Linked DNA regions of Canis lupus familiaris. The protein of the gene in region 2 interacts with the protein of the main gene of each other region in a pairwise test. Links are inferred from orthologs where the notes say so. Each region holds a gene or a part of one and is shown on either strand. Other genes may lie near its edges.

The links.
Region 1: the proteins of DAZAP2 (region 2) and UBXN6 interact in binary tests that used the Homo sapiens proteins (3 or more experiments, as listed by UniProt). The link is inferred for Canis lupus familiaris from reciprocal best matches to the Homo sapiens genes DAZAP2 and UBXN6.
Region 3: the proteins of DAZAP2 (region 2) and UBASH3B interact in binary tests that used the Homo sapiens proteins (3 or more experiments, as listed by UniProt). The two-hybrid records come from large-scale screens. The link is inferred for Canis lupus familiaris from reciprocal best matches to the Homo sapiens genes DAZAP2 and UBASH3B.
Region 4: the proteins of DAZAP2 (region 2) and BATF2 interact in binary tests that used the Homo sapiens proteins (3 or more experiments, as listed by UniProt). The two-hybrid records come from large-scale screens. The link is inferred for Canis lupus familiaris from reciprocal best matches to the Homo sapiens genes DAZAP2 and BATF2.
Region 5: the proteins of DAZAP2 (region 2) and SMAP2 interact in binary tests that used the Homo sapiens proteins (3 or more experiments, as listed by UniProt). The two-hybrid records come from large-scale screens. The link is inferred for Canis lupus familiaris from reciprocal best matches to the Homo sapiens genes DAZAP2 and SMAP2.
Region 6: the proteins of DAZAP2 (region 2) and RNF208 interact in binary tests that used the Homo sapiens proteins (3 or more experiments, as listed by UniProt). The two-hybrid records come from large-scale screens. The link is inferred for Canis lupus familiaris from reciprocal best matches to the Homo sapiens genes DAZAP2 and RNF208.
Region 7: the proteins of DAZAP2 (region 2) and RBPMS interact in binary tests that used the Homo sapiens proteins (3 or more experiments, as listed by UniProt). The two-hybrid records come from large-scale screens. The link is inferred for Canis lupus familiaris from reciprocal best matches to the Homo sapiens genes DAZAP2 and RBPMS.

The regions. Positions count from the first base shown.
Region 1 is NC_049241.1:55,634,193-55,638,202, reverse strand, and holds the start of UBXN6 (UBX domain-containing protein 6), read right to left. Parts: upstream 2,801-4,010; 5' UTR 2,727-2,800; coding exon 2,644-2,726; intron 2,381-2,643; exon of another isoform or gene 2,256-2,380; intron 1-2,255. UniProt on the Homo sapiens protein: May negatively regulate the ATPase activity of VCP, an ATP-driven segregase that associates with different cofactors to control a wide variety of cellular processes.
Region 2 is NC_049248.1:43,029,760-43,033,769, reverse strand, and holds the start of DAZAP2 (DAZ-associated protein 2), read right to left. Parts: upstream 2,801-4,010; 5' UTR 2,660-2,800; coding exon 2,647-2,659; intron 1,609-2,646; coding exon 1,490-1,608; intron 1,061-1,489; coding exon 892-1,060; coding exon of another isoform or gene 815-891; intron 1-814. UniProt on the Homo sapiens protein: In unstressed cells, promotes SIAH1-mediated polyubiquitination and degradation of the serine/threonine-protein kinase HIPK2, probably by acting as a loading factor that potentiates complex formation between HIPK2 and ubiquitin ligase SIAH1.
Region 3 is NC_049226.1:11,541,256-11,544,755, forward strand, and holds part of UBASH3B (ubiquitin-associated and SH3 domain-containing protein B), read right to left. Parts: intron 3,217-3,500; coding exon 3,094-3,216; intron 1,616-3,093; coding exon 1,523-1,615; intron 344-1,522; coding exon 199-343; intron 1-198. UniProt on the Homo sapiens protein: Interferes with CBL-mediated down-regulation and degradation of receptor-type tyrosine kinases. Promotes accumulation of activated target receptors, such as T-cell receptors and EGFR, on the cell surface.
Region 4 is NC_049239.1:52,687,731-52,691,765, forward strand, and holds the start of BATF2 (basic leucine zipper transcriptional factor ATF-like 2), read left to right. Parts: upstream 1-1,235; 5' UTR 1,236-1,520; intron 1,521-4,035.
Region 5 is NC_049236.1:2,683,438-2,687,510, forward strand, and holds the start of SMAP2 (stromal membrane-associated protein 2), read right to left. Parts: upstream 2,801-4,073; 5' UTR 2,364-2,800; coding exon 2,261-2,363; intron 1-2,260.
Region 6 is NC_049230.1:48,434,711-48,437,532, reverse strand, and holds RNF208 (RING finger protein 208), read right to left. Parts: upstream 1,674-2,822; 5' UTR 1,466-1,673; coding exon 668-1,465; 3' UTR 501-667; downstream 1-500.
Region 7 is NC_049237.1:34,777,312-34,781,490, reverse strand, and holds the start of RBPMS (RNA-binding protein with multiple splicing), read left to right. Parts: upstream 1-1,379; 5' UTR 1,380-1,661; intron 1,662-1,759; 5' UTR 1,760-1,898; intron 1,899-2,985; 5' UTR 2,986-3,241; coding exon 3,242-3,307; intron 3,308-3,772; exon of another isoform or gene 3,773-3,787; coding exon of another isoform or gene 3,788-3,811; intron 3,812-4,179.

The DNA.
Region 1 (4,010 bases), on a different chromosome or scaffold from region 2:
GTGAGATGACAGGAGGTCAGCCAGAAGCGCCTCTGTCCCTCTCCCACTCCTGCCCCATTGGACAGACCATCCCTCTTTCCCAGGGGCCACCCGCGGCCACTAGAGGGTTCTAACAGAAGAGCCCCCGCGGCCCCATGGCAGTCCTGCTCTCAGCTCTGCCCCTCAGGGCACGTCCTGCGCGGGCAAGGCCTCGGGTCATGGCAGCCCCCCACATGGGCCGCCTGGTGCAGCATGTGAACAGGCGCCCTGTCGCCTTCAGAAACCGATGAGACTCAAAGACGTCACTCCTCTCCTGACTCCCCCTCCTGAGTGAGAGCAGCCCTTCCAGGCCAGGACAGCCAGGCGCACGGGCCGCATGCCCAGGACTGTGCCAGGCCGCATGGTCACACCTGGGAAACAAGCACGGGCTGCGTGCTCCCGGGTGCACTCAACACAGAAACGACCTGCCTCCCCTGCGGGAAGTCCTCCCTCACACCCTGCTGAGTCACCTGCCTCTCCTCCTTCCCTCCAGACCTCTCCTGACCGCACGACTTGGAATTACCTGTACTACACCCGCAGAGCTTTCTGATTAGCCAAGGCTCTGGCTTCGTGGCCTCACCCCTCCTGCTCTGCTCAGACACACAGGTGGCCCGCTTTTCATGTCCCAAGGCCTCTGGGACCTGCTTCCTGACCATCCCTGCCCTTCTGCCCTCAGCTAACCACCTCAGGTTGCACAAAAGATGAATCCCGTAGCCCCACCTTAGCCCCATGTGACATTTACTTCTATAAAAAAGCCATTTTTAAGACACCTCACCTGCCATCCCAGGCTCCCCTGGGCAGCCACGGGAAACCTTCTAAAACCTAAGCCCAAGCTTGTCGCTCCTGCACCAAGCCCTTCCACCACACGCCCGACACAATCCTGAGGCCCCCTTCACAACCTGCCCGTTCCCTGCCTTCACACCTCTCCATCTACGTTGCTTTCCCACTGTTGCTCCCACAGGCCCAACTGGGTCCTACCACAGGGCTTTTGCACATTCTGCACCTTCTGCCCGGAATGTTCTGTCTGCATGTAAGATGAGGAAGGAGGTCTGGGAGCTGCTGGGGCTGCTTCAGGGTGTGTGTGTGAAGAAGACTAATTTCCACATGGCTGAACCTCACCTCCTCTGGCTCTCGGCTCAGATGTCTCCTTCCCAGAGAGGTGTTCTGGGATGCCCTAACAGTCCCCAACCTCATTTGCTGTCCCCTGACCCAGCTTATATTTCTTCCTGGCCCTGAGTACCACCTGATCTCTCACCACATGTGCACTGGTTTATCTGTCCATCTCTCCCCACTGGAAGGCGAGCCCTGAGACCGACACCCGAGACACCCATGACAGTCCTTGTCACACACTCTGAGCCCCAGGCCTGCCCCAAGTGTGTCACAGAAGCCTGGATCTCCACGCTACCTCCTTCTTCTCTCCTCCCAGGCCTCCTGGTGGACACAGCCATCGCCCCCGCGGCCCCCCCCTTCCTGGAAGGCTCAATCCCAGCTCCGTCAGCCTCCCCTCCCTCCTCTACTTGCTGAAGGCCAAGTGGAAGCCTTCGTATGGTCCACTCCCCCTCTGATCCACTCCGCCCTCTCTTAAGCTGCCCTCCTCTCTCCCAGGACCTGATGCAGTCCACTGGGCCTCCCTCCCCAACTCAGGAACCTGGCCCTCATGGGGCTCCTTCTTCCCAGTCCCAGGAACCCTGGATCCCCATGACGGATGCCCTGATGTCATGCACGCGCTCTCCCTCACCCACCCCCGCTGCCCCACGATTCCCCTGCCGCCCTGCCTCTCCCGCCTACCCCTCACAGCCTCCCTCTCCACCACTTCCCGTCCTAGACCCCACTCAGTCCCCAGGGCCCCCATCCCTGAACACCCCCTTTGCTCGTACCACCCCCAGAGGAGCTTCCTTCCCAGCCCACCGGGGCCCGCCTCCGACGGCCCCTGCTCCAGCTCCAGCTCCTCCGGCTCCTCCCCAGACTGGCCCCAGGCCCTTTCCTTCCGTCCACAGAGGCCTGCGCGTGTACTCCCCGACCTTCCCTCTTTCCGTCGGCCTCAGGATCTCCCTCCTGACTCAGCCTTCGCCCACAAGGTCCCCATGTCCCCCGGCACGAGGCCCCGAGCTCCCCACCTCCACCAGCCGGCCTCCGCGTCCCTCCCCGACCTTCCTCAACCGCTCGGACCCCCGCTCCTCGCCCCACCGAGACCTCTTCCAACACCGCCTCGGGCTCCCCGGCCGAACCACACTCACCCCGTCCTCCCTCCGCCACCGGGGCCGGGCCGCTACCGCCGCGGACGCTACGCCTCTGCATCTTCACGACCCCAGCTGCGACCTCCGAACCCTCGGGTTCCCCCGAATCTAGGCGATGCCCCTCAGGGCCCTCCCCGCCCACCCGCTGCCCCGCGGCCTCTCCGCGGACCCCCACCTCGCTCCCTGCAACCCCGCCCCCCGGCCCCCGCCAGCCCCGCCCTCTCGGGCCTCGCCCCCCGCCCCGCCCCCGGAGGCTACCCACACCCTCGCCCCCTCGCCCCCCGCCCCCCGTGCCCCGCCCCCAGAGGTCTCCCCCCCGCCCCTAGCCCCCTCTGGCCCCCCGCCCGTCCCTGCTCCCGGGCCTCAACACCCAGCGCAGGTCACGCACCCCACGGACCCCGTGAGCTTCTGACCAGGCCCCGCGCTCTTGAACTTGATGTCAGCCTTGATCTCCTGGAAGAATTTCTTCATGGTGGCGGCGGGCCCGGCGGCGGGGGGCCGCGGGGGGCGGGGGGCACAGGGCCCAGTCGGGGTGGGGCCGGCGGGCGCGAACAACCGGAAAGAAAATACCTCGCCGCCGGAAGTCCCGCCTTCGCGCGGCCGCCCACGTGACAATCGGCCGGGCGTGCCTCTCTAGCTCTCCGCGCCTCGCTGGCCCGCGGCGGCCGCTCCGTACGCTCGCGGCGCGTCTCGGCGCTTCTTCCGGATACTCTGTTGCCAGGGGCGACGAGCGCGCTTCCCGCCCGAGGCCGCGCCGGCGCTCCTTGCACCGCGTTCTCCAAGGCGGCGATGGGAGACGGTGGGACCGGGCCACCGAGCCTCGGCCTGCGTGGGGGCGTCGGGGCCGAGTGGAGCCGCGCCCGTGCCCGGCGCTGGGGTTCCCTCGGGCACACGCGCTGGGGGACGCGGCCCCGCGGGGCTCGGGCCGGGGCGCCCTGACGTCATCCTGGGGCCCCTGGGATTCCGGGAAAAATCCGGTGCAGCCCCAACTGACCCTGCGGAGCTTGGGTTCCCTGAAGCGCCCGCCTCGGAGGAGGATTGCGGGGCTCATGATGCCGTCAGAAAGCTTTCAATAAATGTCACCCGTTATAATGACTCGTTTCCTATTTGGGAGTCGGCCTTGTTAGCAGCGGGGAGGGAAACCACTCGCAGACCTCGCGGCGGCGTCGACGGGTCAAGTCTGCGGCAGGGCAGGTGGGGTTAGGTGCTCGAGGGAAAAGGTGGACGCAGGGAACGAGGCAAAAGGTTGGCAGGGCGGCCGCCAAAACGCAGGGTGTCTGGGCATCAGATGATATAAAGGGTCTTTAGCAGACTCATTTTTAGGAGAAGCACACCAGTAGCTGCGATTCATTTGGGTTTTCTCTTTTCAATTCTTCCATCCATTTTCCCCACCGCCCTGCCCCAGGCAACCCACCCACCTGCTCTCCTTATGGATGAGCTCGCTGGGGTTCCTCATGTCCTGACTTTTGTTTCTGTTCCTCATATGAGAGAGATCCTATACTGTTTGCTTTTCTCTGACTTACTTCATTTATTGCCCTTGGGGTCCATTGATGTTACAAATGGCAAGATTTCATTCTTTTCTTGGGTGAGCGATGTTCCGCTCTATTTCCACACCACCTCTTCTTTATCCATTCATCCATCGTGGGCGCTTGGGTTCTTTCCATAGTTGGCCATCGTGAACTGTGCTGCAATGAATGTGTGGGGTGCGTGTATCTTTTCTAATTAATGTTTTTGTTTTCTTCAGGTACTCAGAAG
Region 2 (4,010 bases):
GGGCAGAGGGCAGCTGAGACAAGGGAAGTGGACACACGTGAAACAGGATCCATTAGAAAGATGGCAGTGTCCTGACCAATCACATCTTAAAGCTAGTTCTGCCAACGTGGGTTGTAAAGCAGGTCTATATTCTCTGTGAACCCAAAGGTACAGACAGGAAAAGAGCCTACCACTCATTTAAAGGCATTCTCACCTCATTTCAGGTATATGGCTTTGAGGCAAGGACCACCTGGGCTCTAATTCTTATAGAGGGGGGAGCTAAGCAGGCAACATAACTAAAATCTCTAGTATCTTTCTAAATGCCACTTAATAGGGGACTATGCTTTCTTCATTTTTTTCAGGATTTTAAAAATTATTATTTTATTTAAATTCAAGTTGCCTACATATAACACACAGTGCTTATCTCATGTGTCTTTCTCCATTTTTACTCATCACGTTTTTCTTTTATCACGTTTCTTAATGGAATGCCATACTGAAGGCAAATTTGAAGTAAATGTTACAGGCTGAATAAGGAGTATTACTAGACCAGTACCAAAGTGGAACTGCAAAAGCAGCAGGCAGGACTCCTAATGCTTTAAAGAGGTATAGGAAAACAAAGGAATCTGGTTAACTCAGGCCCCAGGGAATGTGCCAGATGCTACTGACTTGCCACAGTTCTCCTGCCCCCTCAACTGCTTTCTGCCCAACTACTGGATGTCAGTGCTTATACCCATACCACAGCTATTACCCAGGGATGGTGAAAGGATGAATATGTAATCTCTTCAGAAAGTTAAACTACGTAAGAGCTGAGTTGTTCTGATAAGGTCATACTCACAGGAATGTTGCCAGCAGTAGCCCCCGCTCCAAATCTGGCACCTGCATCATACCCTCCTTCCACCAGCACTGCTGAACCAGGTGGATAGATGGGACCAACTGGATAATAAGCCATGGGGATTGTGGAACCTAAAGGTCCAACAGCCACAGATTGGGCCATGGGAAGATACAGTGAGGCGCCAGGAAATGCAGCTGACATGGTGGGGACCGTGGCAGCCCCCGGATGCACGAAGCTCGGACGATAGAGCTAGAAGAGAAGGCAACAGGTTACTTTATGACATTCCGATTTTAGATCCCTTCTACGCTCAATTCTTAATTGTCCTTGTGCAGATTACACTCTTGAGTTACACAAACTGCCTTTCCACTGCCACTCAGTACCCTCCTGCATCACTTCCTGCCATAGCTAACGTGAGGCTCAAGGAACGCAAGCTCATCTTCTTAACCTCACCCGGTGCCAAAAAAAAAAAAAAAAAAAAAACATGAAACAATCAGATGATGCAGTCTCAACCCCAACAGAAATTGCGCTGAAGTGTACAGTGTTTCAGACTATTCACGTGAGCCCTCCCTTCTCCTATTTACGGACACTGAATAGATATGCGTGGACTCAGGCTTATTAGCTAAGGACTGAAGATGTGACCCAAGAGCACTGGGTTCAAGTCTAGTAAACTGGAAGCACCTCTGAGTAGGCAGGTGGAGCATCAGTATAGGGTGGAGCCTGAGGGAGATGCAAGGTCTGAGGGTACACTGGGTTCCCAGGAGGCTGCACGGGATAGGTTGGCTGCGTTGGATATTGACCTGGAAGACAAGAAAGAAAAAAAGAAAAAAAAAGGAAAGAAAAAGAAAATGCATGTTGCCTACCACACAGAGCCACCAAAATGGGGCAGAGCATCCTGGGTAGCTGCCCTAGGGGCAGCAAGCTGGAGATGTGTAGACAGACCGCTCTGGGTGGTGGGGTGGGGGTGGGGGCTGATTTCTGGGGCCGAGAGAATATTCTCTTCGCACCCTTATCCCTACTCCTACCGGGGCAGTCCTCCCACTGGCACACCCGAGCTTCTCCATCGATGCAGGGCAGGTGTGGGGCCCCGTTCCTGCCCGTGCCCAACGGCAGGGACGCGCTGCCCCGGCTCCGGGTGGTCGCCACAGGCCTGGCTGGACCGAGCCGCGACCTCGTTGGGTCACGGAGGTTGCGGGTTATTTGCCCCGCCGCTTCCTACTCAAGGTCGCCTTCCGAATACAGCGCGCGATGGACGTGAGCCCTCGGGACCCGAGGGAGGATAACGGGAACCGTCCTGAGGCACAGCGGAGGACCGTGTGGGGCCCGACGCCGGCACAGTCCCAGGAGCCGGGGGCACTTCGGGCGGCCGCGCGAGGCACGCGGAGGGAGACCCCTCCGCCGCCCCCGGGCCCCCGGGCCCCGGGGCCCGCCCGCCGGCGCCGCACTGGTTAAGCCCGGGCGCCGGCCTCTGGTTCCGGAGCGCGAAGCCCCGCCCCCGCCGGCGCGCCATTGGCCGACCCGCATCCCTGCTCTAGCTCCCCATTTGCTCCCGCAGATGCCCATCATGACAAGCCTCCCCCCTGCACCCCCCCGCCCCTCCACCCGAGCCCGCAGCTCCAAACTGCGCCACAGAGTTTAAGGAGGAAAGGGCCGGGAAGCAGCGAGCAGCCGCAGTTCGGGGATGACGAAGGCGTCTGGCGCGGCCCCCGGGGCCGCAGCCGGCCGGGGAGGGAGGCGCAGCGCGCCCCAAGCCTCCGCTTGGCGACCCCGGGCTCCGGGCCCGCTCGCTCCAGGCTAGCACTGTCCCCCCGACGGCCCCGGCCGCCCCCTGCCCTTGCCTTTGCTGTTCATGGTGGCTGCGGGTCCGGTTCGGCTCGGCGTCGCGGACGGTTATTTTTTTCGTCCTCTTCCTGTTCGTAGTCACTTCCGTGTCACGTGACGGCCCGTCCGCCTCGCGTCACCCGACGCCCGAGCGCCGCCGCCACCGGAAGCCCCGCCCCTCCCGCGCGGCGTCCAGTAGCTGGAGGGCGGGCGCGCGTGGCCCCGCCCCCCCGGCGCGCGGCGGCCCCGCCCCTTGGGTCTCGCCCTCCCACCCCCACCCGCGTCCCACGACGGGAAGAAAACCGAATGCAGGTATTGTCTCCAAACACGGTTGTTGGCTTTTTTTTTTTTGGTTTTGCCTTTGTTTTTTCCGCCCCCCCCCCTCCTCTCTCTCTCTCTCTCTGGGGCGCTCGGGGGCAGAGCCGCTGAAGCCGCTCCCCGGAACCTGCTTCCACCTCTGCGCAGCAGCTCAAGGTGACCTCACCTGCGGAGCGCGGCGGCCCCGGCCCCGGCCCCGGCCCCTGGACTGCGCGGGCTGGCGGCGCCGTCAGTGGGTCCTGGCCGCCTTGCCCGTCCCGCCGGCAGGTGCCCGCCTGCACTTGCGTCGCTGCCCCTCTGCCCGAGGGAGGCCCCGCGCAGGGCCCGGCCTGCCGCCTCCTGTAGCCTCCCTCTCTCTCCCTTCGTCCCTACCCTCACTGTCCTTAAGGGCAGGGGTGCCACCCTCTAAGGCAGCAGTGCCCCGGGCAACCTTCATTTTAAGATACGCCGCCTCTGCGCAAGTACAGAGATGGAGCTAAACAAGACCTTTTTTTTTTTTTTTAAGATTTTTGTTTATTTGTTAACCAGAGACACAGAGACCCAGGCAGAGGGAGAAGCAGGCTCCATGCAGGGAGCCCAACGTGGGACTCGATTCCAGGACCCTGGGGTCATGCCCTGGGCCGAAGGCGGACGCCCAACCGTTGAGCCACCTGGGCTGCCCCACAAGACATTTTTAAAAAAAATATTTTATTTATTTATTTGAGAGAGAGAGAGTGCACCGGCAGAGGGATGGGCAAAGGAGAGAGAGAAGCAGACTCTCCGCCGAGCAGGGAGCCCCATGCAGGGGCTGCACATCCCAGGACCCCGGGATCATGACCTGAGCCCAATGCAGACGTTTAACCTGCTGAGACACCCAGGCGCCCCCAGCACAAGATGTTCTTTTTTTTTTCTTTTTTTTTTTTTTTTTTTTTTATTTATCCATCAGAGAGAAAGAGGCTCCATGCAGAGAGACCAACGTGGGATTCAATCCCAGGCCTCCAGGATCTCGCCCTGGGCTGAAGGAGCCATCCAGCTGCCCAGAACACAATGTTCTTTTTTTTTTTTTTAATTTTTTTTTTTAATT
Region 3 (3,500 bases), on a different chromosome or scaffold from region 2:
ATATAACCCACACTCACACTAAATACAAGGGAATGCTGGCTTTCTCCGGTTGTGGTTTTTCAGATCATAACTTGACGCCCACCAATATGGACAACTGCCCATGGCCTAGGTCTGGTCCTTCATCTCCTTAGTCAGCCTGACCTGGTGTAGAAAAGTACTTCCACATTGACTCTGGGAGACAGCAGCTCAGACGGTTACCTGTAGGTTGTATCAACACTCAGGTTGGCGGCAGCTAACTCTGATGGAGGTATCCACGCAGGTAATGTGTTCCCAGCAACCCATTTTGTCCACTCAAATAAGCCAGGCTCGACACGGATCTTCAAGTGATTTTCTTGTTGTAAACCTTAGAGGTAAAATAAAACAAAGATGAAGGAATGGGCACTGTGTTTCAGAGGCCAAACTGTTATAAAAATTCTATTCTCTTTTCTACCAGTCGCTATAGATGGTTAAAGGAAAGTGGAAGAATGTGGGTTTGGTCAAGGGGTTTTAATTTCCGTGTGTGACAAACATACAAGTTTAATACTCTGGCCACACCAACAGGATGTATGCTGGCTCTAAGTGGTCTCTGACTTTGAGAAAAAACCACAAGTCATTACCCATATAATGTATACACTTCTGTGACTGCTAGATTTTCTTTTTCTAAGGTTAAGTCCCAAGACTGCCTCACCAAGAGACTTCAGAAATTCTCTCAGCATCCACTACTCCAGAATAGCTTATACTGTTTTTGAGTTATCACGTAAATTATTCATTTTCTCCAGCAGAAAATCCAATTTTGAATATTTGCAAGTGCCAGTGCACAAGTCTGGTGTTTTATGGAAGTGTAATCACACTCGACTAGTCCCTGTTTGGCTTTCTTTATATTGCTTTAGCCCAGTTTTTTAATACATAAATGCATTCTGGTTTACTTAAGAAATAGAAGCCTCCAAGGTAGTATAAATTCTTCATTGGCTTGGCTATTTCTGGCTCATTCATTTGTTTTGTACAAGCGAACAGTTCTACTCTGTTTCTATTAGTTTTCCTTCCTGTGAAATGAGGATGGAGATCCCTATAGGGTGAAAGTTGAGGATCTTTATAGCAACGGTGCTTTTAAAGTCATCCAATTAACTAAAGAAACAGGGATGATTAAGATTTGTAGATACTTAGGAGCACCGTTGCTACTGTAAACAAGAAGCAAACAGAGCAGAGTGGGAGGAAATGATTTCACTGTTTCACTGCAAAAAAAGGATCACACTCTGTAGGCTCCAAATTATTGCCAGACAACGATATTTCACAAGCTTACCATTCATCCAAGAGGGCTTTACATTTTCAAGAGAAAAATTCTCTCTCTACCTCCTTTTGTCTCATTTATGCCACCAGAGTATGATTTGGGGACTCTTGCACAGACGCCTTCCAAAAGAATCATTGCTAAAAATTCCAAATGTGAAGCTTTCAATTGGTGCATGTTCCCCAAGTCTAGGATAATCTAGGCGTAGTGCTGTCTAGAGGCAGAAGGATAGTCCCGTGGGCCTTTATCAAGTCTAACCTTTCAAGATGTTGTATGCGGTCTGAACGCAGCGCAGCGATGGGGAGCAGTAGACATGGTCAATAATAGTGTTGCTCTCCAATAAGGCTTCCCCTGCAAAGGAAGGCAGAGGAGAATCAGCTTGCTGGATTTATGCAGCCTCTGCTGGAGCTTAACGTGGGAGCGGGTGGCAGGCAGACCCTGCACACCTCTTTTTTTCAATGGAGGCTCACAGACTCCAACAGTTTGAGCCTTGTTTCCAGCCCATCCCCTCATCAGCATTTCTGTGAAAGAGTCCAAAGGGAAGACCCCTCTTGTCTTTTTCTTTCCTTCTCTCTGAAGCTAACAAGCAGGAAAATATCCATCTAGGAGAGATCCAGAAACATGAGAATGCTCTGATTTCACACTTGTGATATAAACGAGATGGTTCATATTGTGACAGTTAGATCTTGTTTTACTTTTATCCTGCGCTAAACAAGATCTCAACCTGTCATCTTCTTAGATAACAGAGGTAAATCCCAACACCCGATACTTCAACACTTTCTTCACGGAACATGCTTCTTTTCTCTACTGGATAACCATGCGGGGCAAGGTCTTCTGTGAACTTGTTCTTTATCCAGCTCACCAGCCTTATCTCGTGTGGCTCACAAGCCATGGTCTAGAAGGAAAGAGCTTTTCTCTAACTACTTTCGATGTTACTTCCCACGTCTATGACTTTTTATGGTTCTCCCCACCAGACACACACTTCCCACCCTGCTGCTCCTTCTCTGTCCAGGTGACTTCTCTTCCCCTCTTCTGTGTGTGTGTGTGTTTTATGTTCCCATAATACTCTGCACACAGTTCTATTCAAGATGTATGATATTTATTCACTTTTAAGCTGTTTCTCTGAGGGTAGGGGCTCTCACTTGGATCCCCAACACCTAGCATGGGACCTTGCACAAAGTAAACGATCAGTGAATGTGTTAGAGGATTGAACAGGACAGGGCTGCTGTCTCCACCTGGTATGTATGGAATAGACCTGCAAGAACTGACCATTTTCTTTCTTTTCCTCATCTTTTGAAGATTTTATTTATTCATTTGAGAGACAGAGAGTGAGCAAGCAAGCATGGGGAAGGGCAGAGGCAGAAGGAGAAGCAGACTCTCCCCTCTGAGCAGGGAGCCTAATGCAGAGCTCAATTCCAGGACCCTGTGATCATGACCTGAGCCGAAGACAGACACCCAACCAACTGGGCCACCCAGGCACCCCAGAACTGACTATTTTCAAAGGATCAATTGGCTTCCCTACATCTAGCCGTTCCAGGCTTCTCTCCTCTCCTCCTCACCCCTGCACTAGAAGCTGACCTTGCCCCATCACTGGGCCATACAGCCCTCAAGGGATCATACCTCATTCACTGTGGTAAACTAGCCCAGTGCCAAGCACAGTGTTCGGAACTTCATGGTTGTGTAATAAATAAATCGCTTTTGAATCGGGGAAATAAACTACTTGTAGGAAACTTGTAGAGAGCTGTAGAAAGTGTCCTGGCATACCCACTGGAACCAGTCTTTTGTAGACGTAGCCAGGAAAGGCTGTGCAATCACTCCAGGACACTTACCCACCAGTCTTGCTTGCATACATCCAAACACGGTGATCGGAGCATCTTTCTCATAATCCCGGAAACCACCACTCCGCTGAGGTAAGCTATGAGGCATGTTCAGGTTGGTGCGTATGTAGCGGCCTGGAAAAAAAAAAAAAAAAGTAAAAGGATGACTTTGTTTTCCTTAGGACTTCTGTTGTTGATCCTGATGGCCCTCCGTTTTCCATTCCTTTTTGGCCAAAGAAAGGGAACTGAACTTTTCTAGAAAATATTGAAGCTGACACGTTTCCTTTGGTAGAGTCTGGGAATCCACTCCTGCATTCTGGTTGACAAAAGTGATAAGAGATAGTTTTTAGGTGAAAGTAACAACCACACATCCTAAAGCAGGAAGATTCTGAGAGATGAAAACCTCCCAGTCTTAAGAC
Region 4 (4,035 bases), on a different chromosome or scaffold from region 2:
TATATCTCATGCAGCACTGTTAGCTATAGGTCTGGGGTCACACATTACATCCCTAGTACTTAGTTATCTTGCAACTGGAAGTTGATATCTTTGGACCACATTCCTCCATTTCCCCCTCCCCTGATCATCCACATCTGGTATTGGATCTGGATTTTTTTAAAATGCTTTTTAAAAAAAATATTTTATTTAGGGGGTGCCTGGGTGGCTCAGTCGGTTGGGCATCTGCCTTCGGCTCAGGTCCTGATCTCAGGAGTCCCACATCAGAGCTCTCTGCTCATCAGGGAGTCTGCCTCCTCTGCCTCTCACCCCTGAACCCCCTCATGCTCTCTCTCTCTCTCTCTCTCTCTCTCTCTCTCAAAGAGAGACAAGCAGACTCCCTGCTGAGCAGGGAGCCTGATGAGGGGCTCAATATCAGAGCCCCAAGATCAGGACCTGAATCCAAGGCAGATGCTTAACCATCTGAGCCACCCAGGTGCACCTTTTTTTTTTTCTTTAAACAAATGTCTCCCAGAACCTAGAGCAGGGCTGCCACATAGTAGATGCTCAGTAAATATCTGCTGAGTCAAAGAGACAGAGGTGGAAGTCCATTAAGTGCTTCCTAGCTGTTGTTAGCCTTGTTCTTAACTATCAGGCTTCTTGGCCTCCAGACCAAGGCAGGCCTGGCCCCCACCTCTGCTGCTGAGATCTGACAGATACCAACTCCCAGACCAAGCCAACACTGAAAAGGGCATCTCCTGTGTACCTCCCTACCCCCAGTTGTACAGCGGGGGAGCTGAGGCCTACAGTGGGAGCTGGGCAGATGGCAAGGCCAGGAGAGGGCCAAGGCCTCTCGTGCCTGGATACCCACCCTCAGTTTGAAGTCCCTTTGCCTGATAGAAAGCCTCTGTTGTCTCAAATGGCAGTCTCCTCTGGCTACAAGGTGATCATCTCCCGGAAGGCATCAGGCTGGCCCCAGCCTCCAGCCACAGCAAGAGGGGCCCAGGAAGATGGGTTATCACAGTCTTTCACTGGCCATATGGGAAAACTGGGCCCCAGGGCCTGAGTGGCTTAGATGTTGAGCGCCTGCCTTAGGTCCAGGGTGTGATCCTGGAGTCCTGGGGTCAAGTCCCACGTTGGGCTCCCTGCATGGAGCCTGCTTCTCCCTCAGCCTGTGTCTCTCTCTCTGTGTCTCTCATGAGTGAATAGATAAAATCTTAAAAAAAAAAGAAAAAAGAAAACTGGGCCCCGGAGAGGGCACCTGGCTGCCCGAGGCCTCGTGCCTGTGGCACGTGAGCTGTGGATGGATCCGGTTTTCTTGGGAGCCTTTCCTGACCATTGTTCTGCATGGGGATCCCCTTTCAGCCCAGGACCTGTGGGAGGCCCCATCTTCATAGGTGCCTCATTTTTCCCCCCCGCAGACCCATAGCAGGTTTCCTCCACAGGAAGGGGGTACGTGCCCTATTCTCCCGAGGGTGCTCTGTGCCCTCATTATTTCTGCTCCGGAGCCAGGAGCCGTGAGTTGGATCCAGAGGAGTGTGAAGGTAAGAGAACCTCTCAGCCTGATTCCGCCATGTCCTTGCCCTGGGCCGAGTCCCTTCCTCTCTCCGAACCTTAATTTCCCCACAGATAAAGCAAAGAGGCTGGATGGCCAGTCTAGAATATTCTGATCATGACTTGTCAAAGATCTTGGTGCCCTTGGTGCAGCACCTGGGATGGGTCAGCTAGGCAAGCACTCTCTCGTCTCCTGTTTGGGAGACACCGGCCACACTGAAGTGGGATTTTGTGTCCTACCCCTCTCCAGCCCTCCGGGCTCTTGCTCGTGACCCTGGCTGGCTGTTTCCGTCCACCAGCCTCCAGGTAAGGCCTTCTTGCCTCTCTGAGCCTTTATAGGAACCCACACCAAAGCCAAAATGAGGGAGAGCCATTTGAGGAGTGAAAAGCCTCCCTCAAAGGTCAAGGTGACAGTCCTTCCTCTCCGGTATCTAGGATCTTAGCAGGGTACCCAGCCTGGGCTTCTCTGCCATCTGCAGTGGACAGTGGAGTGGTGACATCACAAGGGAGAGCCAGCCAGGGACACTGGGCCAAGAGGGAACTTACTGATGGCTGCTTTCTCTCTTTCTTTTTAAAAAATATTTTATTTTTATTTATTTTGAGAGAGAGAAAGAGTGTGTGTGTGTGGGGGGGGGGGGTTGGGGGAAGGGCAGAGAGAGGCAGAGAGAGAGAGAGAATTTCCAGCAGACTCCTCTCTGAGCACAGAGCCTGATGCGGGGCTTGATCCCATGATCCCAAGATCATGACCTGACCGAAACCATGAGTTGGACACTCAACCCACTGAGCCACCCAGTGGGTGACTGCTTTCCATATGTGGTTTCATTGAGACTGCTCTGGCAAAAGAGGGTATTATTCTCATTTTACAGACAAGGAAACTGAGACCCAAAGAAACCATGGGCCATGTCTAAGGTCACACAGCTGGAAGTGGCAGTGCAGGGATTTAAACCTTAGACTGCCTGGGACTAGGACCACCTGGAAAACCCAGGAGCTGTTGTCACCAGGGTCACATCCTGCAGAACCCTGGGCGGCTTGCTGACTCTAGGCTCTAGCACTCAGTTGTTTATTATTTATACTCCCTGACCACTTCCAAAAGTTTGAATCAGTTTCCTGGAAAGATGTGTATGTGAAAGGAATAGCCGAGAATCAGCAGCACAAAGCTTTGGGGGCAGCCAAGGGCCCGGCAGGACGAAGGATGGACACATATAGCAGCTCCTACTAACAACCGATCAGTGACAGCGTCACAGAACCCTGGGGAAGTCACCTGGTTCCTGGGAAGCCTGGATATTTGCAGATTGCAGCTTGTGGAGCACTCACAGGGTACTGTGCTGAAGTGAAAGTCAGTCCTCTCCTCCCTCTGCCCTGGGGAGTCCCCACAATGTCACGGCCCTAATCCCTGCACAGCATTCATTTCATCTGGAGTCTTCCCCTTGCCCAGCCTCTGCTTTCTCACCCATGGGTCCCTGTGAAACAATGGAAAGAGGGTGTAGGGTCGGTGTCAGAGACACATGGGGGCATTGAGTCCATCCCACCTGGGGATGCGACTCTGCAAAGGGATATACTGCTAGGAGCAGCTTCCTCATATCTGAATTTGAGCCAAGGTGGTGGCATCAGCCCAGTATCCGTTCCCTCTTCTGCCAACAGCCTTTGGGGGTTGCCCTTCCCTCACCCCTAGTCCCTAGGGCTGACCCTTCCTCCTAGGCTCCAGGATGGGCGGGGACCCCAGCCTTGCCTATCTTACTTTATCTCCTGGCCACAGTAACTGATCAGGAATAGCTACATGATTTAAGCCAAACCAAGTTCTGGCCCTTTGTTGGGAAAGTGGCAGAGGTGGAGGGATGCACTCTCCTCATGGTCATCTTACTAGAACAGTGAGGATGAGACACTGGCTCTTGAGGAAATTGTTTGGGCATTGTGATCCAGCTGTGCATGAAGCTGGTACACTCTAGACTTGTCTGTCAGTAACTTAAGCTTGAGTTTAGATCATTTAGAAAACCAAGAATCCTCCTATTGATGATACTCCTTTATAAGCATGAGAAATTTTGAGCAATTTTCATCAAATATTAAGTGCTTCTGCTTACACATGGGCACCAACACTTTTTTCCCACTAAAAATATATTATATTGGAAAAAAAAAGTCATCCATCATGTACTCCACCATTTTTTTCTTAAATAATAATGAAATAAAATACAAGCCTTTGGTTGGGTGAACAAAAATTTATCAAATATTTATTGAGTGCCTTTGTTAGAAGTTTAACAGATGTTTATGTGACTCTCTGTTGCCGGGCGCTGTTCTAGCCCTTTGCAACTATTACTTCATCAAATCCTTATATTATTATGCCCATTTGAGAGAGGGGCATGAAGAGTTAAATGACTTGCCCGAGATCAAGTTCCAGGTCCCAGGATGGAGCCTGTCCACCCTCCGATGTCCTTGCTAAAGAGTTTCTTCAGTGGAAAGATCTCCCCAGTAGGAAGTGCCCTCTGCGGCCATAGACTCCCTGTCCCACCC
Region 5 (4,073 bases), on a different chromosome or scaffold from region 2:
AAGAGTGCAAGGAGCCAGAGAATTCACAAACTGAATAAACTGAGACCTAAACAACATGTTATTTAAATAACTTGAAAGATGATGGACATCTTGTCATCTCAAGTTTAATACAATGGCCAAGTTACTGAAGCTACCAAGCCAAAATGTAAAACTAATTTGTGAAAATAAATAGTTTCAGGAACCAGGATTCTACCATTAATAGCCGTTGATAAAGTTTACAACCCAGCAGTTAGTAATTCTCATCAAGAATTAACTAATGTTCATTACCTGATCCCCAGTGATGCTATTGATAAAGAGCAATGGAAAATTTGGTGGAAGAAGTGGTGAATCAAGCTCTCCCTTCCATGTGCTATATTTCATTGGAATATGAGTAAGTATGAGTGGTAGGAGAAACGGAGAGTTGGGGGTAGTACTAATCATCAAAATGGCATTTGATTCCCCAAATGTGGGGAGTCACTCTAGTGGGTTGCTTCACTGTGACTCAAGATTTGTTAACTGAGGACATAAGGGAATTTGAGTAAAGCCAGTAGACATACTCCTAAATTTTACACTGAAATGTTCCAATAAGTCTAGGACAAGATTTAATAAGAGTCACCTATAAGAAATTAACCTACTCAACATAATCAGATTCTAAAATACTTTTTAAAGCAAATTCTTGCTAAGGCAAAAATTCAGGAGAGAAGTCTGGGGACGTACTTTCCTAAAAGTACATGCCACTTATCTATTGGAAGAGGACATTAAAATATACTATTAGGTGTTTAAACCAATGTATCATTCCCCTGTTCTTAAGAACATAACCTTATTTTTCTAAAATAAAAGGTAATTACCTAAGAGCATCAATTAGGCATGTACTTCCCTTCTCAATATCTATAAATACAAATACATTTGAATCTTTGTTGTAGACCATGTGCCCAAATGTTACATGGCAAACAACTGTGGTAAATCCACTGCATTATGAACAGGAGCAAATTAACAATAGCTCCCAAAATGGGAACTATCCCCTTCTCCCCAAAGGGAAAATAATTTCCCCAACTTCTCCAATTACATCCCAAAGAATGCAGAAAGAAGGGCAGCCCCGGTGGCTCAGCGGTTTGGCGCCACCTTCAGTCGAGGGCCTGATCCTGGAGACCCAGGCCCGAGTCCCACGTCGGGCTCCCTGCATGGAGCCTGCTTCTCCCTCTGCCTGTGTCTCTGCTTGTCTGTCTGTCTCTCTTTCTCTCATGAATAAATAAATAAAATCTTTTAAAAAGAGAGAAAATTAAGGAAACAATATTCACAGAAGTTTGAATCTATAAATTTTCAGTGCTAATAACCCAGCCTTCACTTATAACCAAGCTTTCCTATCATACTGATTTTTTATTGGATCAAATCATGCGTCTTGGAGGGCACAGCAAAGACTAAAATGGCTCTAACAATTCACAGCGCTCATATTTCACCATTTTCGCCTTTGTAATGACCCCAGAAGCGACAAATCTGATGCATCCACCCCGTTTCTTTCTCTCCACTGATTAAACGGATCCTGCACTCCAGCCACGATCTGCCGCTAGTTTCTCCCACCGCACGTGCCCTGCGCCCGCGCACGCGCGCGCGCGCGCGCGCGCACACACACACACACACACACACACACAGCCTCCAACGCACTTCACGGCCAGGGCCAGGCTGTCTAGAAATCCGCACTGTGTCACTGCATATACGGCAGGTTCCCACTTCACACATCCAGGAAGAAGAAAGCCCCCCACCCCCACCCCCACCCCCACCATGCGCTTGCCAGGTCTCAGCAAAGCCCGTAACAGGACAGAGGAAGCTGCTCAGCCAAGAGCGGGGCAGCAACCATCACCGCCTTAAAAAAAAAAAAAAAAAAAAAATTTTTAAGTGGTTTTCCTGCCGTCATGTCACCTCCCCACACACACACGCACACACACACACGCACACGCACACACACTGCAGTTCATCCCCCAGCTTTGCATGTGGAAGGCGGCGAGCTCCGGGCTGCCCCTGGAAGGACAGCCGGCCCGCAACTCACTCGGAGCCCCGCGGCGCCGACCGGCTCACCTGCGCGCCCCCCGCCCCCGCCCTCGCAGCCCCCCGCCCCCCGAGCCGGCGCCGCGGAGCGCCCAGCGGCCGGCCCAGCCGGAGGGGCACGCGCCCCGCCACCTGACGGGATCGGCGGCCCAAGCCCCAGGAGCCCCCTCCCCACACACGCCACCTGCGCGGCGCGGCCGGAGGCTGGACCCCTCGCCCGCCGGGAGGGATGCGCTACCTTTGGACTGGCAGTCGGCACAGAACTTGTTGTCCTCCTCCAGCAGCAGGTTGGCCAGGACCGCCTGGTACCGATCCACGTCCTTCACCGACTTGCCGGTCATGGCCAGGGTGCCGCCGGGGGCAGAGGGCGACGCGCCCTCCCCGCCCCCCCCGAAACCCCTGCCCAGTCGGGAGGTGAGGACTCCCGGTCCCCCGCCCAGGGGCACCTCCTGAGCGGGGGTGAGGGGTGAGGGTGGGGGTGGGGGTGGGGGTGGGGAGCCCTCCCTCGGGCCGGGCCCTGCGCCCCTCCTCTCGTCAGCCGCGCCCGCCCCCCACTCTGCAGCCCCTCAGCGCGGCGCCCCCTGGCGGGCTCAGGGAAAGGCCCGAGTCCTGAGGAGGCTGCCGGACTTAGAGACCCTCAGCCCGGGCAAACGGGGCGCGCAGAGACGCCCCCCCGCCCGCCCGCCCGCCCGCCTGTCTGCCTGTCTGCCTGTCTGTCTGTCAGTCTGCCGGCAGCGGGTCCCGCGCCTCGGTTTCCCTGGCAGCTGCCGCCCGCTCGGCCACCACCTCAGCCGCCTACTTCCGGCAGCTCTTCCTCTCCACCTCCGCCCAGCCCAGCCCGCGCATGCGCCCCGCCCCTACCGCGTCGCGCCGGGCTCTTCCCTCGGCTCCGCCTCTCGGGAGCCAATCCGGCGGCGGCGAGGGGCGGGGCTTGGGGAGGGGGCGGAGCGGCCACGCCTCCCGCGCGTCCTTGGAAAAGAATGAATGGAGCCGCGCGGAAAGCTAGTGGAGGGAGTGGAAGCAAGGGAAGGACCTCGACAATTAACACTTGCGGAGTTCTTGCCCTGTGCCAGGCTCTGTGTTAAGCGCTTTATACGAATTATCCCAGTATAATCCTCAAAACGTGTCTGTGAGTTAAATATTTGTCATTCTTATGTAACCTGAAGGTTGTGGCTACTCCAAAGTCATCCAGCTTGTCCTTTTCCTCAACAGCCAGATGGAGGGCCCAACCCCCTAATCCGGGATAACGGGGACAGCACATCCTCCCCAAGTTTTCAGAGGATCCTGGTCACCTCTCACTGTTCCCACTGAATTCTGGGTTCCTCTGTTCATTAGATTTCCTGCCATCTTAGGGCATTGTTTACCTGGTGCCTGGATACTTTCATGTCTTAAATCCTCCCCAAACAGCGCAGTTCTGTGCGGCAGACGTTCACTAAAGGTCATGTGGAGGGATGTGCTAGAGAGGAAGGGTGATTACAGCAAAACACACGATAGGGAACTACTTAAAATGATTATTAAGCATCACTGTCCAAAGCCACCCTCACTACACAGAACCCCTCCACAAAAATCCTCTTCTTGGGGAGGCTGGGTGGCTCAGTTGGTTAAGCATCTGACTCTTGGTTTCAGCTCAGGTCATGATCTCAGGGTCCTGCATGGGATTAGCCCTGCATGGGGCTCTGTGCTCAGTGGGAAGTCTCCCTGAGGATTCTCTCTCCTTCTCTCCGCTCCTCCCCTCACTCACCCTCTCTCACTCTCTCTCTAAAATAAATAAATAAATCTTAAAAAAAAAAAAAGTAGTTTTTCTTTAGGGATTCACCTGCTCCCTGGCTAATGTTTTCATTCATTCATTCACTCAGATAATTGTTACTGAGAAACTTCTAAGTATCAGGCACTAGGCTAGGGGAAAGGGGAACAACATGATCCAATTAGTGGTTTTAAAAGATCACTGGCTGCCGTGGGAAGAATGGGTCAAGGAAACTGATTAAGACCAGATGCTCATAGTTCTCTCTAGTAAAACCCTCCAGGCTCCCTCAAAACTTTCATTTCATCAG
Region 6 (2,822 bases), on a different chromosome or scaffold from region 2:
TCATGTCTATGCGCCTCCTCGATGCCCTGTGGCTCTCCCCAACCCTTCTCTCCCCCACTCTGCCATGGGGTCCTCCCACCCCACTACGATCTCAGCTAGCCTATCTCAACCCTGCTTCAGTCTGGCCCAAAGGCCATTCCCATTCAACTTCAGAGGGTCTAGGGGAACCAGGGGCCTGGTGTCCCCCATCCAGCTGCCCCCACATCCAGTGGCCAGTGCAGAGGACATGTCCACCCTTTGCCCATTCTGCACATCTGCCCCAGCAGCCCACACAGGAGGCTGGCTGGCTCCACACAGGTGTGGGAGGCATTCGCATGCATACACACAGCTAGGCCCAGCCCTCCTGAGTGGCTGCCCTGGCCCAGGCTGGCACCAGTCAGCACAGTGGGCTGACCCCCAGCAACACTGAGCCTGCCTTCAGTGGCTCCAGGCTGGACCCTGTCTGGGCTGCAGCCCCCGGCTCAGCCACAAGCTCAGGCTTCAGTCCAGGGAACAAGGTGCAAACTTTGGCAAAGAGTTTTAATGGCGGAGTTGGCTGCAGCGACAATGCCACATGGGAAGGGGCCAGAAGCTGTGGTGGGTGAGGGGTCAACAGGCGACAGGGCAGGGCCGGATCCCTGAAGAAGCGGCGAGCAAGGACTGGCAGGCAGTGGTGAGCCGGTGGGTGCTACATGATGGAGCAGGCAGACAGCGGGTTCCGCACATGGCAGGTGCACGCGGCCCCACAGTACTGCCGGAAGGTCTGGTAGCAGCTGCCCTCCGGCTCACCCCCCCACTGGCCACCGGACGGGGCAGTCAGTGCCTCAGGTGGCAGGCGGCTCAAGATAGACGTGTTGACAGCTAGTGCAGCCAGGCCATAGTCCGTGAAGAGCACAGTCTCGCGGCGGCAAGTGGGACAGGAGATGAACTTGTACTTAGGGCAGGACTCATAGAGAATCTGCAGGCACTGCTCACACACAGAGTGCAGGCAGGACAGCACTCGGGGCCGCCGCTGGGTGACGTTGTACGTGTGCCCGCAGGTGGGGCACTCCAGGGGCTCACCTGAGGCTGGTGCCGCCGTGGCAGGGGCCCCTGAGGTGGCAGGACCAGGCCGCACCACATACTGGTTCACGATGACCTCGTCCGCTGGTGCCACTCGGGGGAAGCCCAACTCCACACTGCCCTTTCGGGGCCGTCGCGGCAAGGGAGGAGTGCGGGGTGCCCCATCCAAGGCAGGCATGTCCCCTCCGCATGCCTGGTTGACGATGATCTCTGTGTCTGAGGGCCAGGCGCGTTTGGGTGCCAGGGCAGGGGTGGGCCGCGGTGCTGGTGGGAAGCAAGGGGCAGCCGCCTGCAGCTCAGGGAACTTCTCAGGGTGAACAATCTTCATGGCCTCCATCTTGAGGATGACATGGGGGCCCTTCAGGCAGGACATGAGGAAGCCCGGCCAGCCACTGCCCACCTCGGGCCCGGGGTCAGCCGGCATCCGGCTGTCCCCAGTCAGACTGGGTGTTCGGGTGGGTGGGGGTGTTGGGTGAGGCCGGGGAGGAGGAGAGGGGGCAGCATCCTGGTCCTGCCAGGCCTGGTAGGGACCCCGGCCGCCCCGAGGACTCCTGGGGGCGGCCGGCAAGAGCTGGGGGGGCAGGGCCCCCCCCAGTGGCCACAGTGGCTTCTCTGGTCCAGTCCTAGGAGGAGGAGGGAAGGGTGGGGGGGGCGGAGGGAGGCGGGGGCAGGGGGGTAGGGGAGGCTGCCCTGGGCTGCAGGTCTGGCCCAGGGGCTCACCCAGGGTCTCCGGCTGCTGAGGCTGGCGAGGGGGCGTGGGGGGGACTCCCCCTGCAACTGAGGTCAGCAGCCCCCGAGCAGGGACATCCGGGCAGGCGGGGGCTAGGTGGGCCCCATGGCTCCAGGACAGGGCGCCCAGGGAAGGCAGCTAGCCTGAGCCTTGGCTGCGGGAGGCCCCAGGCCGCGGGCTCAGCGGCGGCGGCTGCAGCGGGAGCAGAAGAGAGGCCTGGACCAGGCCCGGGCTGCAGGTGAGAGACGGCGTGAGGGCAGCACCCGGGGCCCACCCTCACCCTACACAAAAGACGGGGCGCCCGACCTCTGACCCTGATCCTCACCAGACTCCGGACCCAGCCTCCTCCCCCAAGGCCCAACCCCGGCCGGTAGGAAGGGGCTGCGAGTGGCGACCCCGCGGCCGTCCCGCCCCGCCCCGCCCGAGCTCACCTGCCCCAGCCTGGCGTCCCCGGGCCGTGCCGCCGCCGCAGAGGTTGTCTCAAAGGCAGGCCCGGATGCGACGCCCGCGCCTCGGCCCGGCGGCTCCCGCGGCTCCGGCGGCTCCGGCGGCTCCAGCGGCTCCAGCGGCTCCGGCGGCGACCTCGGGCGATGGCGCGGCGCGGCGGGGCTCCCAGGGGCGCTGGGCGCGGGGCTCTGGGCAGCGCGGCGCGGCGGCAGGTGCGTGCGGAGCGTGGCGCGCTCTGCGGCGGAGGCGCGGGGACCGCAGTGCGCGCGGCGCCCGCCCGCGCCCGCAGCGCCACCCCCCGTCTGGGGACCCGCGCGGGGTCCGCGGGGCGGGGCCAGTGTCTCAGCCGCCCCTCCATCGCCGCGGGTCTGCCGCCCGCTCCCGGGGTTGCCCTCCCCTGCGAGCCGCTTGTGGATCAGGACCCCCCCCGCCCCCCCCCCCCCGCGACGCCCTTTTCCGGTACCCGCGACCCCTCAGCCCTTCCTGGCTGACCTGGGTCCACGTCAAGTCCCCCACCCCCAATTCTAGAAGGGAAATCGTGCTTTTCGAAGCCCGAGGCCTCAATGCCAGCAGGAGGAAGGCAAGGGGGACACAGAGATGGTCT
Region 7 (4,179 bases), on a different chromosome or scaffold from region 2:
AGAGAGGCAGAGACATAGAAGGAGAAGCAGGCAGGGGAGCTGATGCGGGACTTGATCCCAGGACCCCAGGATCATGACCTGAGCCAAAAACAGATGCTCAACCACTGAGCCATCCAAATACCTGCAATTTTATTTATTTTTGAAATCTCATCAGTTGTCTCATTCTGAGCAAGCTCTCTATCTAGGTGGGTCTCCCCTGCAAAATAATGCCTAAAGACTACTACCATGAATCTGCCTAGTGTCCTTGTGGTGGCTCCCTATGCTGAGACACTTCCACTTATTCAGTCCCTCCTGCAGGGGCTTTGTAAAGATGTGATGTCATTCAAGGCTGAAAATCAATCTCTGATAAGACTGTGTTCATTTATTCAAAAATATTCACCGAGAGCCTACTATGTGTTAGGCACTGTCTAGATATTGGGGACACAACGATCAAATCAGACAAAGATCTTCTTCTAGCCCTTATTTTTTTTTTTTTATGCCAGATGTCTTTGACTTTTAACAATGGACAAAGTGCTGGCAAAAGAATCAGGTTCTACATTTGGAATTAGGCCACATTTCCCTGGACGGAGGTAGCAGCAGCATCCTGGAATCATACAGCACCTTCCACCGACTTGTAAGTGGAGTCTGACTGGAATCATCAATGACTAGATCAACTGTCACTTTTCTTGGGCCTTTGCCAGGCTCCAGCAAGACAATATCTTTCTGTGGAGTGTATTCAGTACCTGGCAATGGCCCAGGAGGGCAAAGGGCCTGTGTTTATTGGTGGCGCAGGGGCCCAAGACCACCACGCAGCCATTGCTCAGGAACACATTGCCCCCTCGTGGTTCTTTACGTAATTGAGGGAGGGACTGGGATTGGAAAGGCTCTCCAAATTTCCAGATTAATCGTGGTGGCCTTTGCCTCTTCTGAACTTCCATTGCAAGTTCAACAGTTTCTTGGTTTATTTTCATCCAGGATACGCTTTCCCCCCACCCCCCCCACAGAGGCACATGACATCCTGACAGCAATTAAACCTATTTATCAAAAGCTTCAGACTTCCCCCACCCCCAACCCAAGAAAACCCCAGTAAGTGAATGCAAGAATTACCACTCTGTTTTTCTTCACAACGCTCGTCACACAAGTATTTTCTCTGCTTTCTGCTATTTGAACCAGGATCGCTGATCATGTGGCCATGGAGTTGTTTTGGGTGTCTCGTCTCCACAACACCAGTTAAAACTCCCTAGAAGCAGGAGCCTTATCTTCACCCCCACCTCCACCCCACCCCCAGCAGCACTTAAACCAGTACAGGGTGAAGAATGTCTGGCGGGGAGGGGGGAGAGCAGAGAAAGATAAACAGTGAAGCGAGCAAATAAATAGAAGTTGTGATTGGTACTGTGCTGGAAAGGAACAGCATGTCGTGTGAGAGAATTCCTGGGCGTGGGAAGTGAGGGAGAATCTTCTGATAGAGGCCCTTTTAAATTTATGTGTTTATGATACAGGAATGGAGAAGCTCTCTATGGCCCCGGGAAAATGGAAATTTCCTTAATAATAATGCTAGTTTCCCTGTTCTGTAAACTTACACCGGGCAGGAATGAGTGCTGGGTGCTCTAGCTCTACCAACCTATAATCTCCTCTAATTACAACCCCCCTGGGAGGTAACTATAACTACTCCCATTTCGCAGGTGAGGAAACGGAACCCAGGCAGTCCTCTGGCGCGTGGTGCTTAAACAGGTACTGGGTGCCCCCCTCCCAGAATGCTGAGCCCTTTTTCTTCCTTAAGGGGCTTTGACCCTCCGAAGATCATCTGGGTTGGCCTCCAGCTCGGCTCGCCGTGAGCAACAGTCACTTAGCCAACAAGTATTTATTGAGTGCCTACTGTATACCCGGTAGCGTATTTAACTAGCCGTGGGATTATCAAGGTAAACAAGGACACGGTGAGGCTGGCGTTGCGTTGTGGGGAGGCTCCCCCGGAAGGGTGAGGGAGGCAGGCAGGTAAGCAATTCCAGGACGGTCTGCTGAGGGCCGAGAGAGGGGCCTGAGCAGAGGGGGGCGCGAAGCCTAGCAGAGGGCGAAGGCCGGGGCTGAGAGCCTGGGAGGGCCCGGCGTGGGAGGTGGGTTTGAAGCTGCGCCCTGGAAACGCCGGCCCCGAGCCGGCTGCCCCCGGACCTCGCTCGTTCTCTCGCATCCTGTCATTTCGAGCTGCCAAGTAGGAAGGGAGGAAATAGGTCTGAGCCGGTGCTGCAGAGGCAGGGCAGGCTGAGCGACGGGGGCGCGATCCCCACGGCGGTAGCCCACGGCGCGTCCCGGGCGTCGCGCGGGCCCGGCCCGGCGCCCCGAAGCCCCTCTCCAAGCGGGCGCGCACCGCCGCGCGAGCTCGCCAGCTCCGGGGGCCCCCGGGGGCCGGGGAAGCGGGAGGACCTGGCCTCCCTCCCTCGTCCGCCTCGGCCCCTGCCCTCCGACCTCCCGCCGAGTCGGGGGGCTGGGGTCGGCCGCTTCCGCCCGCCGCCCCCCGCCCCTCCCCGGCGCGCGCCATCCGGCCGCGGGCGGCCCCTCCTCCCGAGGGGGGCTTCTGCGTCCCGCGTCCCGTCCCTCCGGGCTGAAGCTGGCAGCCCACGTCTAGGGAGGGCGGAGGGAGGAGGAGGAGGAGGGGGAGGGGGAGGAGAGAGGGGAGGGAGGAGGGCGAGAGAAAGGGAGCTGCTTGGATCCCGTACTTCTCAGAGCCTGCCTGGAGCGCGCACTCAGCGGCTCTCCGGGTCCCAGCGTCCCAGCCGCGCCCCGCACCTCCTCCTCCTCCTCCTCCTCCTCCTCCTCCTCTTCCTCGGGTCTGGGCACCCCTCGCCCCCTCCCTCCGGCCCCCGCCAGGCTCGGGCAGCGGCCGCCCCCAGCCCCGACGCGGCCACATCCCCAACTCTCTGGGCTCCCTCCTGGGACGCGCGCCCGCGCCCCATCCTTTCTTCCTTCCTTCCTTCCTTCCCTCGCGCCCGCCCGCCCGCCCGCGCTCTCCAGGTCTCCCTCCCGGTCCCGATTGTCTCCGTCCCCGCCGGCCCGCGCCTCGCCCTGCCCCGTGTCTCCCGCGCACTTCCTGGGTCGCCTCGCCTCGCCTCGCCGCGGAGCCCGAGCCGCCGCTGCCCCGGCTCCAGCCCCCGCAGCCCGCGGCGCCCGCCCGAGGGAGCCCCGGCGCCCGGGGAAGGGACAAGCGGGCGAGCGCGCCCTCGCCCCAGCCCCGCGCCCCAGCCCTGCCCGGCGAGGAAGGACCGGGAAGATGAACAACGGCGGCAAAGCCGAGAAGGAGAACACCCCGAGCGAGGCCAACCTTCAGGAGGAAGAGGTACCGGGGGGCTCGCTGCGGCGGGGGCACGACCTGGGCGCCGCAGTCCGGGGTCTGGGCACGGCCCTCGCCGCGACCTGTGGCCCCGGGCCGGGGGGGGGGCGGCGGGGGGGGTCTCTTCGCAGAGCGCGTTTCTAAAGTTGCGTAACTTTGAGGACTTTTCGGAGTTTGCTAAGTATAATGCTCAGCTTTGTCTGCGTGGGATTTTAAAAGCGGAATCGAGAGCTGACTCCCGGGTGACCTCCGGTTCCTGGGACCCAGAGGGTCGGGACCGAGTCTGCGACCGGGGCTGGGAGTGGGGGGTGTTTGTGCGTGCGGCGTGAGGAAGGAAGGAACTCGGGGAAAGTTCTCGGCGGGGAGACACCTTCAGTTCCCTGCCCCCTCCCCCTCCCTTTTCAGTGTTAAAAGTTCTCGGTGCGATCTCTTTCCAGCTGAGGCATTCTGGATTAATAGATAACTCATCAGCTGCATTCTTCTCTGATGAGTCAAAGACCTCGAATCTGGGTGATTAGGGTTTGTAAATTTTAGGGGCGATGCGGCTGGGGTGGGGTGGGGGAAGCCGAATAAAAGAGTTTGAGAGTTTACAACTCGCCAAGAGATCATCTTGGCTGTTTTAATAGCACTTTGACTCCTGAGCGTGAATTTTATGTGGTGCGTCCGTAACAAAGTTAAAAACGTTGCGGCGGCGGAGCGTTCCTTGGGGTAGAAACCCCATTTATCCGTGGGAGGGAACACCTGAACGGACGGTTTCAGAATTTTGTAGTTAGGATATTTGTGGTATTCTTTCAAGTGGCTTTGTTCCTGCAGGTATGTTACCTGGAGTCCAAGAAACAGTACATGTTTCGCCTGCTTTTTAAGTTCTCCCATAGCTG